4 linked regions of the Macaca fascicularis genome follow. The protein of the gene in region 4 purifies or fractionates together with the protein of the main gene of each other region. This does not show direct contact. Links are inferred from orthologs where the notes say so. Each region holds a gene or a part of one and is shown on either strand. Other genes may lie near its edges. The genes, in order: LAMTOR3, LAMTOR1, LAMTOR4 and SLC38A9.

Region 1 (3,561 bases), on a different chromosome or scaffold from region 4:
AAATTAAAGGTCAGATGGTTTGGTTATGTTTTACCTAATACACATTAAAATATGTAACTTTTAAAATAAAAGATGGGCCTGGCATGGTGGCTCACGTCTGTAATCCTAGCACTTTGGGAGGCTGAAGTGGATGGGATCACTTGAGGCCAGGAGTTCAAGACCAGCCTGGCCAACATGGTGATAGCCCATCTCTACTAAAAATACAAAAATTGGCCAGGCCTGGTAGCACATGCCTATAATCCCAGCTACTTGGGAGGCTGAGGCTTGAGAATCTCTTGAACCTGAGAGGCGGAAGTTGCAGTGAGATGAGATCATGTCACTGCACTCCAGCATGGGGCGACACAGGCAGACTCTGTCTCGGAAGAAAAAAAAAAAAAAAAAGAGTAACTTAACATCAATTGATTAGGAAACATAGCTCTAAAGCACAAGGAATTAATTCAGTCTTAAGAAAATATAGCTTGAGATCAAGAGACATGTAAAAACTAACTTCTTTCCCACAAATAATAACCTCATTTATTACATATATATGTTTCCAAAAAATGAAGGAATTAGTAGCAAGAGCAAATTTAATAAACTTTCAAGGAAAGTTTTTTTTATCTGTTACTACAACAAAAAAAGTGTGTCATCTGAGAAATCACAGTTGTTTAGCTAAGGGCACCATCTACTGGAGATAACAGTGACCTGACGTACACTTTTTAGGATAACATGTACTTTATTAAGTCACTTAATTACTTTTCCATCGTAATTATTTCCTGGTATAAAATGTGAAGAAAATTACTACCGTTTAACACAACCAATTTGAAGGCTAAAATTTTACAATTTCATCCCCTTCAAAACTGAAATTGAGAACTATAACACAAACTATTTTATATATAAAAGGTACAAAAATGACAACTGAAATCAGCAAATCATTTGATAATTATGAACTTACCTGGTAGGTGTTATAGTAACAGATGATACTTTTATTTTTTGAAAGTCCAAGTTTGCTCCCTTGGTCTGTTGCCAGGGCAAAAGTGGATAAGAAACCAGGTCGCAAAGCATGCTCCGGAGCATTGTCATTGGCCACTAGAAAAATAAGTGATTTAAATAAAAATTATGCAGAGGATATGATAGAGAGATTTACAGCCCTTTTTCATAAACCTCTGTTTAAAACTGAGCACAAAGGTTATGTTTCACAATATTGAAAATCATATCACTAATGGGGTCTCATCACTAATCAGGAAAAATTGCTCAGTCAAAAGTTCACTGATCACAATAGAAGAAATGCTGACTCTCACAATTTTTTTAAATTTTAAAAAGAAAATTAAATGTTTACCTTTTCTTGATATCTAACTTAAAACATAGATTAATCAAGCACATTTAACTGGTTATCTGAGGACTAGGTTAGAATAAACTAATGAAAAAAGTTACAAAACTTCTGCTCTTATAAAACCCACAGCAAGGAATATCTCTCATAGATATTAGCAATCTGCAGCTAGTTACCTGTTTCGTGTTTCTCTCACTCATTAAAAGGTCTGCATGGAGTTTGTTGTATTAATGAGTGCAGGGCTCAAGGCTTTAACACAGATATCCTCATGAAGAACATTAGAACTGGAAAATCTGAGATTATTTTGTTCAAATCCCTCATTACAGAATTAAGAGAAAGCAAGTAATCTGTCCACAACCATTCAACGACCATTTTATAGTGAGTTAGAAAGCACACTGGACCACACATCAGGAGATGATGGGTTCTGTTACTGACTCACGCCCGACTTTGGACTGCAATGTTTGAAGATTATAAACCACAGGACCTCCTTTGTTGATATTCCATGTTCTTATAATGTGTTTGTCAAAATTCTCCCAGAAATGGAATCAATGTCTATTATAGAAATGTTTATAATCTTTACAAATTCATGCAGTTTATTAATAAGAATCTAAGACACAGCTAACTCTCCACTGAAACTGCTAATGAAGTCCAAGTGTCTTTGCACTTTATTACCTTCACTTATAAAATGAAAGAACTAAATCACTTGACTTCTAAACCTCCGTTCATTTCTAAAGTCTAAAATTATCTGACATATATGACAACTCCAGGTGGAAAATTGTACACGAAATATACAGAACATTATCCAATCTTTAATGTTTGATAAAGCCATTACAGTGTCCCAAAAAAACTAGGAACATCCATGCTCATAATACCATAAAATAAAAATAGTAAAAAATTGTCTGAATCCATACTGACTCTCTGTGACATCATGTTTACTTATGATTCAAATACATGGGTATTATCCTAAAACAACTAGCAATTTGATAAAGTGTGTGTGTGTGTGTGTGTGTGTGTGTAATGTAGGGGTGTCTGTGTGTTTATCTAGCTGCCTACATGCTCACTCTCATCACTTAGATTTACTAATGGTTTACATTGCACTGTAAATGTCTTCAACGGGAAATGGGTCTGTGATAAATCCATGCTTAAACTCTAGATGTTAACATGATACACCTGATATATAATACACTGTAGATTCAAATTCAACCTTCAGCATACAAAAGCAAACACTTCCGCCAATACTAAGACCACCATCTCCTAAAATTTACTAAAATGAATTTTAGATGTTTGCCTGCTGTACTACTCAGATGTAAATTACACGCATTTTTAGTCAAAAGCAAAGAAGATATTTGCATTTAAATGTTCACTTTTACCTTTAATAACAGGTACTCCATCTCTATCTGATACAACAATGGCATGGAGCCCTTCAACACTAGAAAAAGAAAATAGTTAAAATATAAAAAAAGTTAAAATATAAAATATTTCATTTTCTCAAACTATACACCTCAAAGACATAATAATTCTCATGTATTTTCTGAAAAACCACAGGACCCCAAAATTCTCCCAGAAATGGAATCAATGTCTATTATAGAAATGTTTATAATATTTATAAATTCATGCGGTTTATTAATAAGAATCTAAGACAAAGCTAACTCTCCATTAAAACTGCTAATGAATGATCAGTCCATGGTTTACAAAAGCATGAAAGATTATCAGCAATGGCTGCAGTGACAAAAAAGAGCCTTCTTCTTTTTTCATTCATGCAAATATTAAATGGCCGGTGTTTGTGGCACTTAATACTTTGATACTATGAAAAACAGAAATAAGCACAATCATTGCCTTCACGTGGCTTCCGATCTAAAAAGTGAGTGTGTTATCAATAATCTCACAAGAACAAACGTAAAACTAAAATTGGGGGCAAGTATTGTTAAAAAGTTCATAGGGGCCAGGCATGGTGGCTCACGCCTGTAATCCCAACACTTTGGGAGGCTGAGGCGGGCAGATCACGAGGTCAGGAGATCGAGACCATCCTGGCTAACACGGTGAAACCTCATCTACTGAAAATACAAAAAAAAAAAAAAAATTAGCCGGGCGTGGTGGTGGGCACCTGTAGTCCCAGCTACTCAGGAGGCTGAGGCAGGAGAATGGCATGAACCCGGGAGGCGGAGCTTGCAGTGAGCTGAGATCGTGCCACTGCACTCCAGCCTGGGCAACAAAGCAAGACTCTGTCTCAAAAAAAAAAAAAAAAAAAAAAAGTT
Region 2 (4,266 bases), on a different chromosome or scaffold from region 4:
AGAACCTCAGGGTCTTGATTTGAGGGGTTATAAGAGGTACGAGATCTGGCGACTTCTGCGATCCCTTGGATCAGGAGATGGGGCATGGGGTGAGCCAAGGTGATGGGGTGACTGTAATGTACTCATTGATACGCAAGTTTTTTGTAAGCAAGGCCATGCCTTGGGCCACAGGTAAGAGTCAGAACCTGTCATTGTGCTCTAGGAACTCCCAAGTTTGGTAGGTGAGACTGACCCAGGAACATAGAATATAGTGTGATCACTATTGGATGTTCCACGACTACAGGGACTTTGGCTGTTTTGTGAACTGATGCATATCCAGATATAACAGTGTGTGGCACATAGTAGATGCTCAGCAAATATTTGTTAATAGATGCATGAATTAACACTGGATGAGGATTAAGCATAGAGAGCTGGACATGTCCAGAGAATGGGGTCAGAGAAGGTAATCAGGAGGACATTGTACTGAGTCTCGAAGACAGTAGGCAGACCAGGCTGCATGTGCAAAGTCCAGTAGATCAATCAGGAAACATCATTTCTCTATGTCCAGTGAAACAGATTGCTCACCCCTCCACCCCCTCACCCCTCACCTCAGAACATGCAGTGGCAGAGAGGTGTCAGGCTCTGCGTGACTTTGATATGTCAGATGGGTAATGTGCCAAAACAAGATTTGAGGGTGGGCGCATTTCACACACGCGGAATCACACGCGCATGAACAACAAATGGATCACTATACAATTTTGGACGGACTTGGACCTGTGTTCAGGGCCCAAGGGAAGACATGGGGGAGGAGGGGCGTTTAGGAAAAGAGAACTGATGGTCAGCTTTGTGCGTTAGATTTACTATGGGTCCTGTTAAAAAAAAGGCAGAATTAAAGATAAAAGCCTGAAGGCAGAGAGGTCAGTGAGGTGACTTCTATCTCCTCCACCAGGATTTATCTCCGCTCCGCGTCAGCATGTGAAGGTAGTATAAGGTCCCTTCTTCCTGTAAGTCGCAGATCCCCAGCCCAGGTGCAGAATACACCCTCCGTGTATTCACCCCCAGCCCAGCTGGGCGATACACCCTCTGTTCCCCTACTGGGTACCGGTCATCTGGATCCTCTGTGTGTGCACCCAGGCTGTACGATCTAGGAGCGTCAGGCCTGGATCCCACTCGCCCCTCGCATGGCATTTAGAAGAGTATATCACGAGGGCATACAAGGGCATTTGGTACGAGTTCGCTCAATGGCCCAGAGAAGTGGCCTAGTGGCCACGAGAACGCATAACACTATTCACGACGGCCACTACTGCCAGTTTAGAGACTGGAAAGATGAAGTCATGTGATCCGCCCCTCCCTTTCCTCGCTTCACTTGCCTGCGTGTCCGGTTACGCCTTCCTATTGGTTGACAACGATCACGCGCTAGCGGGCGGGACCGGAAGCCGGGGTATTGCCTGAGGCGGCCCAGCGGCTCCGGGAGAAGGGATACTGGGGGTGGCGGCGGGTGGTTGCCTGCGGGAGGCAGTTGCGGGTCATGTGACCGGAAGGGCTCCTGACGGACGCCGTCCCTCCTCGGCGCGGCCTGAGCGCCCGGCCTGACCCCTGCCATGGGGTGCTGCTACAGCAGCGAGAACGAGGACTCGGACCAGGTGCGGCCGCGGCAGGCGGGGCTCGGGAATGAGGGCTAAGACCCTGGGGCTTGGGGCCCCAGAAAGAAATCTGCGGAGAACGGGCCAGGACTGCAGGGCTCGATGAATACGGAGGCCTGGAGGGGACAGATTACACAGGAGACGCCAAGCCGGACTCCTACCCCAGTTAAAGCCCCAGCTTTCTACGCGGTCCCCGCCTCGGGGTGTACAGGCAGCCGCCTGTCCGGCTCGCTCCCACCACTTCCGTTTGCTCCTACCTTCAAAACTTTCCAGATTCAAGGATCCTCAGTCTAGGTCCCCGGGAAATACTCCCTTCCCAGCTTCCTGTCTTCTCTGTATTAGTGGGCTTTGCGAATCCATTGCAGGGGTGGGTAAGCTGAGGCCCTGAGTTAGGCTGTCCTGCGATGAATCAGGAATTCATGTATCGTCTTAGTCCCTGGGGTTGCAGAAGGAAGGTCGCTGCTAGTTTAGGGCCAGAGGACGATTCTGGAAGTTGGTGGCCTTTGAGTTGGCCAATGAAGGATTTAATGGATACAGTGAGGACATCGGGACATGGGGGAAATTGTCTGGGAAGCAACAAAGAGGGTTTAGCTTTGACTAGATTGTGGTAAAAGAGAAATGGAGCGGGAAGTTCATTTGGGTCTGAGTTTGGCTTGCCTCAGTGCAGTCTGCCTGGGGCCTGAGGGTTCCTTTAGCTGGAGACATGCCTGTTCTGAGAATTTGGCTGTAGATCTGATCCCTCTGACGAAAGGCTTAGGCTGGGGAGACCTGTACAGTTTTAAATTCTCCCTCTTCCTCTTAGTGCATTCTCACTTCTCTCCACATTCTAATCCCTGCCCCGCCTGGCCTGACATTCAAGGATGAAGTCACAAGTTGCTGTCCACTCTTTTTTGATCGTCTCTAACCCTGGATTCTACATTTGAACATATAGTAGACCTGAGAAAGTAGAAAGGTTTCAAGTAGCTCACAGTCTAATAGGGGAGATGGTCACAAAAATAGATTATATCACTGGTACTTGGGAAGTAGTTATTTCTTCAGTGAACGTATTTTGGATTAAGGGCTTAAGCTTAGGAAAATGTCATTTGTGGCCGGGCGCGGTGGCTCAAGCCTGTAATCCCAGCACTTTGGGAGGCCGAGACGGGTGGATCATGAGGTCAGGAGATCGAGACCATCCTGGCTAACACGGTGAAACCCCGTCTCTACTAAAACAGGCAAAAAAAAACTAGCTGGGTGAGGTGGCGGGCGCCTGTAGTCCCAGCTACTCGGGAGGCTGAGGCAGGAGAATGGCGTGGACCCGGGAGGCAGAGCTTGCAGTGAGCTGAGATCCGGCCACTGCACTCCAGCCTGGGAGACAGTGAGACTCCGTCTCAAAAAAAAAAAAAAAAGAAAATGTCATTTTTATGGGAAGCAAGGGTCGCTTCTGGTTCTCAATTCTTCATACACCCAATGAACACATATTTCCTTTGCTCTGTGTTAGGCATGTGTCATGCCTAATACCTCTCACTTCACCTCCACCTTTTTGAGAAAGAGACAACAATAACCCTGCCTACTGGGAGAGCTGTGGCCTAGTGGGAAATTGTCCCTTAAAGCATAATGTGGACTCTTGCAGGGAATGAGTCAAGAAGGATTAATGCCTTATGAGAAAGGATACCAGCTTCTACTTGGAAGGGAGAGCTGGGCCTGCTGCTCTCCTGAATCTCTACCTTCTCCTTGGTGGGCTCTCCTTTCTGTTCCTAACACCCAGAGAAGATGTTTAATCACTGCTGGGTGATTTGAGGCCTCACGTAGCAAGAGCCGTAACCATCCACCTCCCAGAGTCCCTCTTTCAGTTCTTGGGCAGGCTCCTCTCCCACTCTCATCTCTGTCTCTTTATCACAATAAAAAATGTACAACACATTACAGTTTACAAAGGGCCGTGATAGTTATCTAATTTGACTCTTGCCAGACATCTGTCATATTAGTGTGGGTTATGTCTATTTAAAGGTGAGGAAAAAGTTCAGAGAAGCTAAGTGATTTGGCCAAGCTGGGAAGTGCTAATGCCCGGGTGTTCTGATGCCAAGCCATGTACTTTATCCATGGGGCCAAGCAGTCTCATCTATGCCCCTAGACCAGGTGGCCAGTCATGGGCAGGGTGCTATGTCTGTGCTAAGGTAGACAGTGAAACCCTGCCTCTTGGGTTACACTGACGCAGAGACAAACCTTGATGTGACAAACCTAACCCATGCTCCACTCGCACTTCGGGAGTGGGGTGATACTTGTCTACTCTGAAGGGGGTAGCATGGCCTCTTCTTTAAGTCTAGGTTTCAAGAAAACAACCTTGTTCCTCCCTTGATCTTAGCTGAAGGCTGAGAAGTGATCAGCCAGCCTTCTTCTTGAAGAACCCCTGATAGGGAAGAGACTACCCTGTCCTGCAGGAAGATCTGTCTGAAGTGGAGCTGGGAGAAGGACAGACACATAGGAAGCTAACTTGGGCCTCATTATGGAGCCAGCTTTCCTTAGAAATACATAGTTTTATCTTTGGCAAACATTTTGTCTTTTTAGCTCTTTAATGCTGAGCCTGTGTTTTAGGGAGGAAGGGTGTCTGGGAGTTTACAGAGGTGATGGGGCAAAGCCCACAGCTTCTGTCTTTTGCTGCTGGGAACTG
Region 3 (4,256 bases), on a different chromosome or scaffold from region 4:
CGCGGCCTTAAGGAACATGTTTCTTAAGGCATCATCACTCTTCCAGGCTTTAGAGTTCTAGCTAGAGAAGTATTTCTTTTATTACCTATTTCTAGTCATTAGCAAGATATACTGATTCCTCCTTTAAAATATCTTCTCCCAGCCAAGCACAGTAGCTCATACCTATAATCCCAGCACTTTGGGAGGCCAAGGCAGGAGGACTGATGGAGGCCAGGACTTCGAGACCAACCTGGGCAACATAGCAAGACCCCTGTCCCTATAAATTTTTTTTTTTTTAATGGCTGGGCGTGGTGGTGCTTGCCTATAGTTCTAGTTACTTGGGATGCTGAGGTGGGAGGATCGCTTGGGCCCAGGAGTTCAAGACTGCAATGAGATGTGATCACACTACTGCACTTCAGCCTGAGTGACAGCAAGACTCTGTCCTAAAAAAAAAAAAAAAAAAAGGGCCGGGCGCGGTGGCTCATGCCTGTAATCCCAGCACTTTGGGAGGCTGAGGTGGGCAGATCACAAGGTCAGGAGTTCGAGACCAGCCTGGCCAACATGGCAAAACCCCATCTCTACTAAAAATACAAAAATTAGCCGGGTGTGGTGGCATACGCCTGTAATCCTAGCTACTCAGGAGGCTTAGGCGGGAGAATCGCTTGAACCTGGGAGGCGGAGGTTGCCCTGAGCTGAGATCATGCCACTGCACTCCAGCCTGGGCCACAGAGCGAGACTCTGTCTCAAAAAACAACAAAAACAAAAACAAAACTCTTCTCTCCTTGCTCCTTCTTACTGCCACTTGCCCAGTCTCATCTCTTTTTTTTTTTTTTTTTTTTTGAGACGGAGTCTTGCTCTGTCACCCAGGCTGGAGTGCAGTGGTGCAATCTTGGCTAACTGCAACCTCCGCCTTTCTGGTTCACGCCATTCTCCCGCCTCAGCCTCCCGAGTAGCTGGCGCCCACCACCACGCCTGGCCAATTTTGTTTTTGTATTTTTAACAGAGACAGGGTTTCACCGTGTTGGCCAGGATGGTCTAGCTCTCCTGACCTCGTGATCCACTCGCCTTGGCCTCCCAAAATGCTGGGATTACTAAAGACCTGAGCCACCTATGCCTGGCCCAGTCTAATCTCTTAATGATGCCTCCTTCTGCCCATCTTCACATCACTAACAACAATATTGCTCAACCACCTCACTGGGTCTTGTTTCTGTTTAAAAAACCTTTCAAGCTGTATTACCTCCAAGAAGAATAAGTTCAAGTGTGTTAACCTGGCCTTGAAGATCCTTCACAATCAGATCCTCCCTGACCATATCTTCCTCTTCCCTCAAATCTTCCCAAATCTTTTCAGCACAGACTTACCATCAGTTTAGAAAGGTCAGTGCCACACACCTGCAAATATGTCCACCTCCCCACTGTAAATACTCTCCTTTAAGCTGGGCTGAATTCCTACCTCCAGGGAAGTTAGTTACCTTGTCATAACATGTTGAATTTTTAATATCCTGGATTCCTTCAATAGTCTTTTACCACCTGTATTGTTTTCAACACTTAACCTTAAGCTTTGTCTCTAGCTAAATCAAAAACATCTAGAGACCTAACACTATACAGTACTATGGAACAAAATACAAATGACTCTTTAAGAAATATCAAATAAAGGCCAGGGATGTTGGCTCACGCCTGTAATCCCAGCACTTTGGGAGGCTGAGGCAGGTGGATCACCTGAGGTCAGGAGTTTGAGACCAGCCTGGCTAACACGGTGAAACCCCGTTTCTACTAAAAATACAAAAAATTAGCCGAGCGTGGTGGCACATGCCTGTAATCCCAGCTACTCTGGAGGCTGAGGCAGGACAATCGCTTGAACCCCGGAGGCGGAGGTTGCAGTGAGCGGAGATCGCACCACTGCACTCCAGCTTGGGCAACAAGAATGAAACTCAGTTTCAAAAAGTGTAAATAAATAAATAAATAAATAAACCGCAACCGTTAGGAGACTAAGATTCCACAGACTGATTACTGAAAGTAATTGCAAAAACTGCAAATACTTTTGTACCAACCTAATAGATGCCAGACCGCAAACCAGGTAAAAGTCGAGAAAAGAAGGGCCAATATTAGAAGGGGTTACCGGGCTGTGTGCACTAAGGGACCCCCTCCCTTTTCCAGAACGCACCGCCAGCACTGCACCTTCACTCAGTACCAGGTAGCCGAGCTGGTCTGGGATTCGCTCCAGCCCCTGGGTCAGTGCAGAAGTCTAGTGGGTAAAGATGCAAGTAGTGAGAAGCATGCTAGAGGGATGGATGGCCCCTGATACCCTTCACCTACAAACCCAAGTCTCTTGATTGGCGATGGCCCCAGGTTTTCTCATTCCCCAGCCAGGTCCTTTCCCGGCTCCCTTCCCCCTACATGGTCCTCAATACTGATCTTCCCGAGCCTCCATCTGCCCCCACTCTCGGCCCCCGGGCTCCCCTGGCCTTCCACGCTCCACCTATGCTACTCCGAGGGGACTTCGCTGCCCCACTGGCCCCTGCCCCCAGACCCTCTCTCCACCTCCCCGCCCCTGACCTGCAGACTACCCGCAGCCCCAGAACACCCTCCCACAGACCCCTCCCCAGCATTCCCGTCGCCATCCCTCCCATCTCCATCCCGTCTTCCTCCCCGAGCGGATAGGAGGTGAGGGTGGAGCGCAGACCCACGAGGGGGAAACCACACAGATTGGGGAGCAGAGACGCGGAACCCCCGGCGGGTCCTCCCGCGCATGCGTCCTCACTCACCATCGCAGTCTTCGGTGCTGGTGGAGCTCCCTACCAGATAGGTAGCTTCCGGCTTCAGGCCCCGGTCACGTGCTCGCACCCGGCGCGCTCCTCCTTCTGCTTGCTTCCCTACCCTTTAGCCGCGCCTCTAGCATGAGGATTGGATCGTGGCCACGTCGTCAGACCCAACCAGCCAGTGCGAAGCGCTCCTTCCCGGAGGCGCACGTTGATTGGTGATATCCCCTCTTTAACACCCATCTCTCCGCCTCTCAGTCAGTGCCTGAGCGAGAGGAGGCGGGAGTGCTTCCGCGGAGGGGACGGTGTGGGAGGGCCAGGAGTGGGACAGGGTTGACCGTGTGGCTCCGCGCGCGCTTTCTAGAGTCTGGGTTCCGCCTGAACCAGGATGCCCGCCAGTGTGACCTCCCAAACGAATGCCTTCCCAGGTTTAAGACTGGACCCAAAAAACGTGATAATAAAAGGAAATAACGTGCAATGCATGTAAAAAGCTATTCAAGGCTGGGCGCCCAACCTTCAAATGCTACTTTTATGCCTACTCAAGACCGCTCTTTGTTGAAGACAAGAATTTGTTCCCTTGGCCGGGCGCGGTGGCTCACAACTGTAATCCCAGAACTTTGGGAGGCCGAGGCGGGCGGATCACGAGGTCAGAAGATGGAAACCATCCTGGCTAACACAGTGAAACCCTGTCCCTACTAAAAAATACAAAAAATTAGCTAGGCGTGGTGGCGGGCGCCTGTAGTTCCAGCTATTCGGGAGGCTGAGGCAGGAGAATGGCGCGAACCTGGGAGGTGGAGCTTGCAGTGAGTCGAGATGACGCCACTGCACTCCAGCCTGGGAGACAGCGAGACTACATCTCAAAAAAAAAAAAAAAAAAAAAAAAAAAGATTTTGTTCCCAAAGTGGTTTTTTGTCTTCAGATTCAGTCTGGGACAATGTGATGGTGAATAGAATCACCAGCTAGCCAATGCAGATACAATACTGAATATTCTCTGCAGGAAAAAATTAGAAACAGTACCTTGGAATGATACACACACACACACATACATACATACATACATACATACATCACACAATGTAAACATTGGAAATTTTTGTTTTAAATAATTTCTAGACCTGTTGCCGTATTAATGTGGTGGAGGCAGTGTTAGTGAGTAATATGAAGAGTGATTCTAGAAGCCTGGGCAACATAGCAAGACCCCATCTCTAAAAATTTAAAAATTAACCAGGCATGATACCGCACATGTAGTCCCAGCTACCGGGGAGGCTGAGGTGGGAGAATTGCTTGAGCCCAGGAGTTTGAAGCTGCAGTGAGCCATGATCATGCTACTGCACTCCAGACTGGGTAAAAGAGCAAGATTGTCTCAAAAACAAACCAAAAAAATCTGAATATAGTAACAATTGTTGAAGTCTGGGTGTCTTTTAAGACTTGTTAGAAACAACAATCAAGGCTGGGCATGGTAGCTCACACCTGTAATCCCAGCAGTTTGGGAGACCAAGGCGGGTGGATCACCTGAGGTCA
Region 4 (4,110 bases):
AATTCTTTTGTAGAGATGGGGTCTCCCTATGTTGCCCAGACTGGTCTCCAACTCAAGTGGCCTCAAGTGATTCTCCCACCTCAACCTCCCAAAATGCTGGGATTACAGGCATAAGCCACGGAGCCGGCCTAAATTTTGAGTTTTTTTCTGGCATTACAGACACTGTTTTTTTTCTGGTTTAAACAGAAAAAAGAAAAAGAAACAAAAAGAGCTACTGGCTTCCTTTGTAAGAAGAGCTAGGCCGGGCGCGGTGGCTCAAGCCTGTAATCCCAGCACTTTGGGAGGCCGAGACGGGCGAATCACGAGTTCAGGAGATCGAGACCATCCTGGCTAACACGGTGAAACCCCGTCTCTACTAAAATACAAAAAAAAAAAATTAGCCGGGCGAGGTGGCGGGCGCCTGTACTCGCAGCTACTCGGGAGGCTGAGGCAGGAGAATGGCGTGAACCCGGGAGGCGGGGCTTGCAGTGAGCTGAGATCCGGCCACTGCACTCCAGCCTGGGCAACAGAGCCAGACTCCGTCTCAAAAAAAAAAAAAAAAAAAAAAAGAAGAGCTTAGGGTTGCCACATGCTTTTCAGGGACTGACCTTGAACTGATTTTCATAACAAACACATTAATTTTACTTAGACTGTATGTTTACTTGGGGAGGTTTTGGGGAAAATTGCTGGGTATGTGGGGTGGGCCTCTAAAATCCTTGTAAAGCCGCTTTTAGCCTAGAGACTAACTTGCAAACACAGTTTTAAAAAACAAACCCAAATATCTAGACGACGGAGGGAGCATGCCAACTCAACAGTTTTTCAAACCAGCTTCCCTTTGCGTCTGTAGGGTCCAAGGACGTAACTAGATCACACAACACGCGCCTGGAAAGCCCAAAAGAGGGGTGATCCCTCGATGGAGGTGCCGCATCAGCGTTTTCTCACGTGGCCTCCGGGGCTCTATGAATGGCAAGAGATCGCATTCCTTCTACTATCCCTCCCGGCCTCCAGCCGGGACAAGGAACTGGAGCAAACTCCGGACTGCAGTTCCGACCAGACTTGCCTACCTAGGCGGGTCGGCTGCCCAGTCTCCTGAAGCCTTGGGGCTGGGCCCTGCGGTGATGGGCGTGCTGGCCGTCGCAGAGCCCTCTGGGAGTTGTAGTCCGTAGCGGCGAGAGGTTTGACAGCGACCGCCGGCTTGGCGCATTCAGAACTCCAACCCCCGCCGGCCCCCGCGGCCTAGTCTGTTGCCGCTTCCTGTTTGGACTGGGAGTCCCGCGGTCGCAAATTGTGAGAATTTGGGAAGGGAGTCTTCATCTTCTCGTCTAGTTCTCCAAGGTTGAAGGCTCGGCCTGCTCAGGTAGATCACGTTCCCACGTCTAGCATACTCGCCTCTCGGGGAGGTGGGGAGGTATCCGAGGGAAGGCGGCGGGAAGGGTTGAGGTTGGGGCGAAGCCGGCTGTCACCTGGGATAGTTCTTCAATGTAGCGCGTCAGAACCGTAGCTTCTTTTGGGGATCGGGGAGGCCAAAGTCTGGAGCCGCGGAGACTGCTCCGGAGGCACTGCGCGCGCTCCTCAAGGGCTCAGTGAAAGGAAGTCAGGAGTCCCTCGGGGTCTGAGGGAATCCGAGTGTATGTGGGAGTCGGTGTCAGCTGGAGCCTTAGGGAAAAGATAGGGTTAGGGTAAATGAACACCCTGACCCTCGGGTGAGAGAAGGAGGGAGCAGGAGAATTGGGGAGCTTGTAGGAATGGGAGCACCCTTCTTTCTCTCTCTTGAGACAGGGTCTCCCTCCGTCGCTTGGGCTTGAGTGAGGTGGCGCGATCATGGCTAGGAGCACCTTTCTCCATCCCGAGTTGGGGAGATCTAGGGGGGAACATGAGGGAGGAACCCCCTTTAGGCCTTGAGCTAGGACCACAGATGGGGTGAGGGCCATGACTGGTAAGCCCTCGCCACGCTTTTCACACGACTCAGTTGTGAGAATGAGTGTGTCGATAGTGGGTAGCTTGACATGTCAGCATAGTAGAGCTGGAAGAGGGGTTTGAGAGCAGCTAGTCAAGCGCATTCTCCTCATTTTACAGAGAAGGAAACTGAAGTCCACCGAGTTGGAGAAACCCACTCAACACCAGGTAACCATTTAATGGCAAACTTGACTAAAACCTAATTGTTATGACTCCCGGGCAGTGTCTTATCCATTGCCGAGCTCCGTCCCCCTCGTAGATCAGCACACTATAAGTTGTACCTCCACTTTGTTTTCTTTTTTCTTTTCTCCCCTCCCCCCCCCTCCCCCGCCCACACACACAGAGTCTCGCTCTATCGCCCAGGCTGGAGTGCAGTGGAGCGATCTTGGCTCACTGCAAGCTCCGCCTCCCTGGTTCAAGCGATTCTCGTGCCTCAGCCTCCTGAGTAGCTAGGATTACAGCTGCCCGCCACCACGCCCCAATAATTTTTGTATTTTTAGTAGAAATGGGGTTTCACCATGTTGGCCAGCCTGGTCTTGAACTCCTGATCTCAATGATCCTCCCGCCTTGGCCTCCCAAAGTGCTGCGATTACAGGCGTGGGCCACCGCGCCCGGCCCCTTTTTTCTTTTTAATATTTTCAGACATGACAAAGATCTGACATATGTAGGATAGCAGGCAGCTGCTGAGGAGAAAGGTTTTTTAAAAACGTTTTGGCCGGGCGCGGTGGCTCACACCTGTAATCCCAGCACTTTGGGGGGCTGAGGCAGGCACATCACGAGGTCATGAGATCAAGACTGTCCTGGCCAATATGGTAAAACCCAGTCTCTACTAAAAAAAATACCAAAACTAGCCAGGTGTGGTGGCGCATGCCTGTAGTCCCAGCTACTCACGAGGCTAAGGCAGGAGAATCTCTTGAACCTGGGAGGCGGAGGTTGCAGTGAGCCGAGATCGTGCCACACTGCACTCCAGCCTGGTGACAGAGTGAGACTCTGTCTCAAAAAAAAAAAAAAAACAAACAAACAAAAAAAAAATGTTTCAATAGGTCAAAATAACCCATGTCCTAACTTAAGAAAAATCTCTCTGCCTCGTAAACAACTACAAACTTCATGTTAAGATAGAAGGTTGGGCCGATTGTGGTAGCTAACACCTGTAATCCCAACACTTTTGGGAGGCTGAAGTGGACGGATCATTTGAGGTTAGGAGTTCAAGACCAGCCTGGCGAACATGGTTATACCCTGTCTCTACTAAAAATACAAAAATCATCCAGGCGTGGTGGTGTGCCTCTCATCTGTAATCCCAGCTACTTGGGAGGCTGAGGCAGGAGAATCACTTGAGCCTGGCAGGCAGAGGTTGCAGTGAGCCAAGATTGCACCACTGCACTCCAGCCTGAGCCACAGAGCGAGACCCTGTCCAAAAAAAAAAAAAAAAAAGTTGTCATCTATAGTTTCTTTGTTTCTAAGAAAATAAAATTTACCTTTCCTTCCCCTAGACCTCTGAGAACAGCTAGACTTAGATTTCTTTTCTTTTCTTTTCTTTTCTTTTTTTTTTTTTTGAGATGGAGTCTCGCTCTGTTGCCAGGCTGGAGTGCAGTGGCGCGATCTCGGCTCACTGCAACCTCTGCCTCCTGAGTTCAAGCGATTCCTCTGCCTCAGCCTCCCAAGTAGCTGGGACTACAGGCACACGCCACCACACCCGGCTAATTTTTTTTTTTGTATTTTGGTAGAGACGGGGTTTCACCATGTTGGCCAGGATGGTCTCAATCTCCTGACCTCGTGATCCGCCTGACTCGGCCTCCCAAAGTGCTGGGATTACAGGCGTGAGACACGTGGCCAGCCAGTTAGCCTTAGATGTCCAATCACAATCTTAAATACTATATATTTCAGTTACATACATAAAATAATATACTTTTAATTGTGATTTTGTAATACCCTTAATATTTACAATAAAGGGTAACTCAGCATAGGAGGATGGAATACCAACCTGAACTACAAATTAAAATAGTATTGTTTAGTATTTTTTTTTCTTTTTGGGGTTCTTTTTGCTCTGATACTCAAGCTTTAGTGCAGTGGCACTATCATAGCTCACTGTAACCTTGAACTCCTGGGTTCAAGCAATCCGCCTGCTTCAGTCTCCCGAAGCGTTGGGATTACAGGCATGAGCCACCACACTGGACC

What was found.
Region 1: the proteins of SLC38A9 (region 4) and LAMTOR3 purify together in Homo sapiens (affinity purification with mass spectrometry; 3 studies listed by BioGRID and IntAct, with this or other methods). This does not show direct contact. The link is inferred for Macaca fascicularis from reciprocal best matches to the Homo sapiens genes SLC38A9 and LAMTOR3.
Region 2: the proteins of SLC38A9 (region 4) and LAMTOR1 purify together in Homo sapiens (co-immunoprecipitation; 5 studies listed by BioGRID and IntAct, with this or other methods). This does not show direct contact. The link is inferred for Macaca fascicularis from reciprocal best matches to the Homo sapiens genes SLC38A9 and LAMTOR1.
Region 3: the proteins of SLC38A9 (region 4) and LAMTOR4 purify together in Homo sapiens (affinity purification with mass spectrometry; 4 studies listed by BioGRID and IntAct, with this or other methods). This does not show direct contact. The link is inferred for Macaca fascicularis from reciprocal best matches to the Homo sapiens genes SLC38A9 and LAMTOR4.

Annotation. Positions count from the first base shown.
Region 1 is NC_088379.1:105,526,527-105,530,087, forward strand, and holds part of LAMTOR3 (ragulator complex protein LAMTOR3), read right to left. Parts: intron 2,736-3,561; coding exon 2,677-2,735; intron 1,066-2,676; coding exon 932-1,065; intron 1-931. UniProt on the Homo sapiens protein: As part of the Ragulator complex it is involved in amino acid sensing and activation of mTORC1, a signaling complex promoting cell growth in response to growth factors, energy levels, and amino acids.
Region 2 is NC_088388.1:70,863,860-70,868,125, reverse strand, and holds the start of LAMTOR1 (ragulator complex protein LAMTOR1), read left to right. Parts: upstream 1-1,451; 5' UTR 1,452-1,580; coding exon 1,581-1,622; intron 1,623-4,266. UniProt on the Homo sapiens protein: Key component of the Ragulator complex, a multiprotein complex involved in amino acid sensing and activation of mTORC1, a signaling complex promoting cell growth in response to growth factors, energy levels, and amino acids.
Region 3 is NC_088377.1:48,815,604-48,819,859, reverse strand, and holds the start of LAMTOR4 (ragulator complex protein LAMTOR4), read right to left. Parts: upstream 2,819-4,256; 5' UTR 2,745-2,818; coding exon 2,742-2,744; intron 2,222-2,741; coding exon 2,141-2,221; intron 1-2,140. UniProt on the Homo sapiens protein: As part of the Ragulator complex it is involved in amino acid sensing and activation of mTORC1, a signaling complex promoting cell growth in response to growth factors, energy levels, and amino acids.
Region 4 is NC_088380.1:61,147,921-61,152,030, reverse strand, and holds the start of SLC38A9 (neutral amino acid transporter 9), read left to right. Parts: upstream 1-1,255; 5' UTR 1,256-1,336; intron 1,337-2,055; 5' UTR 2,056-2,103; intron 2,104-4,110.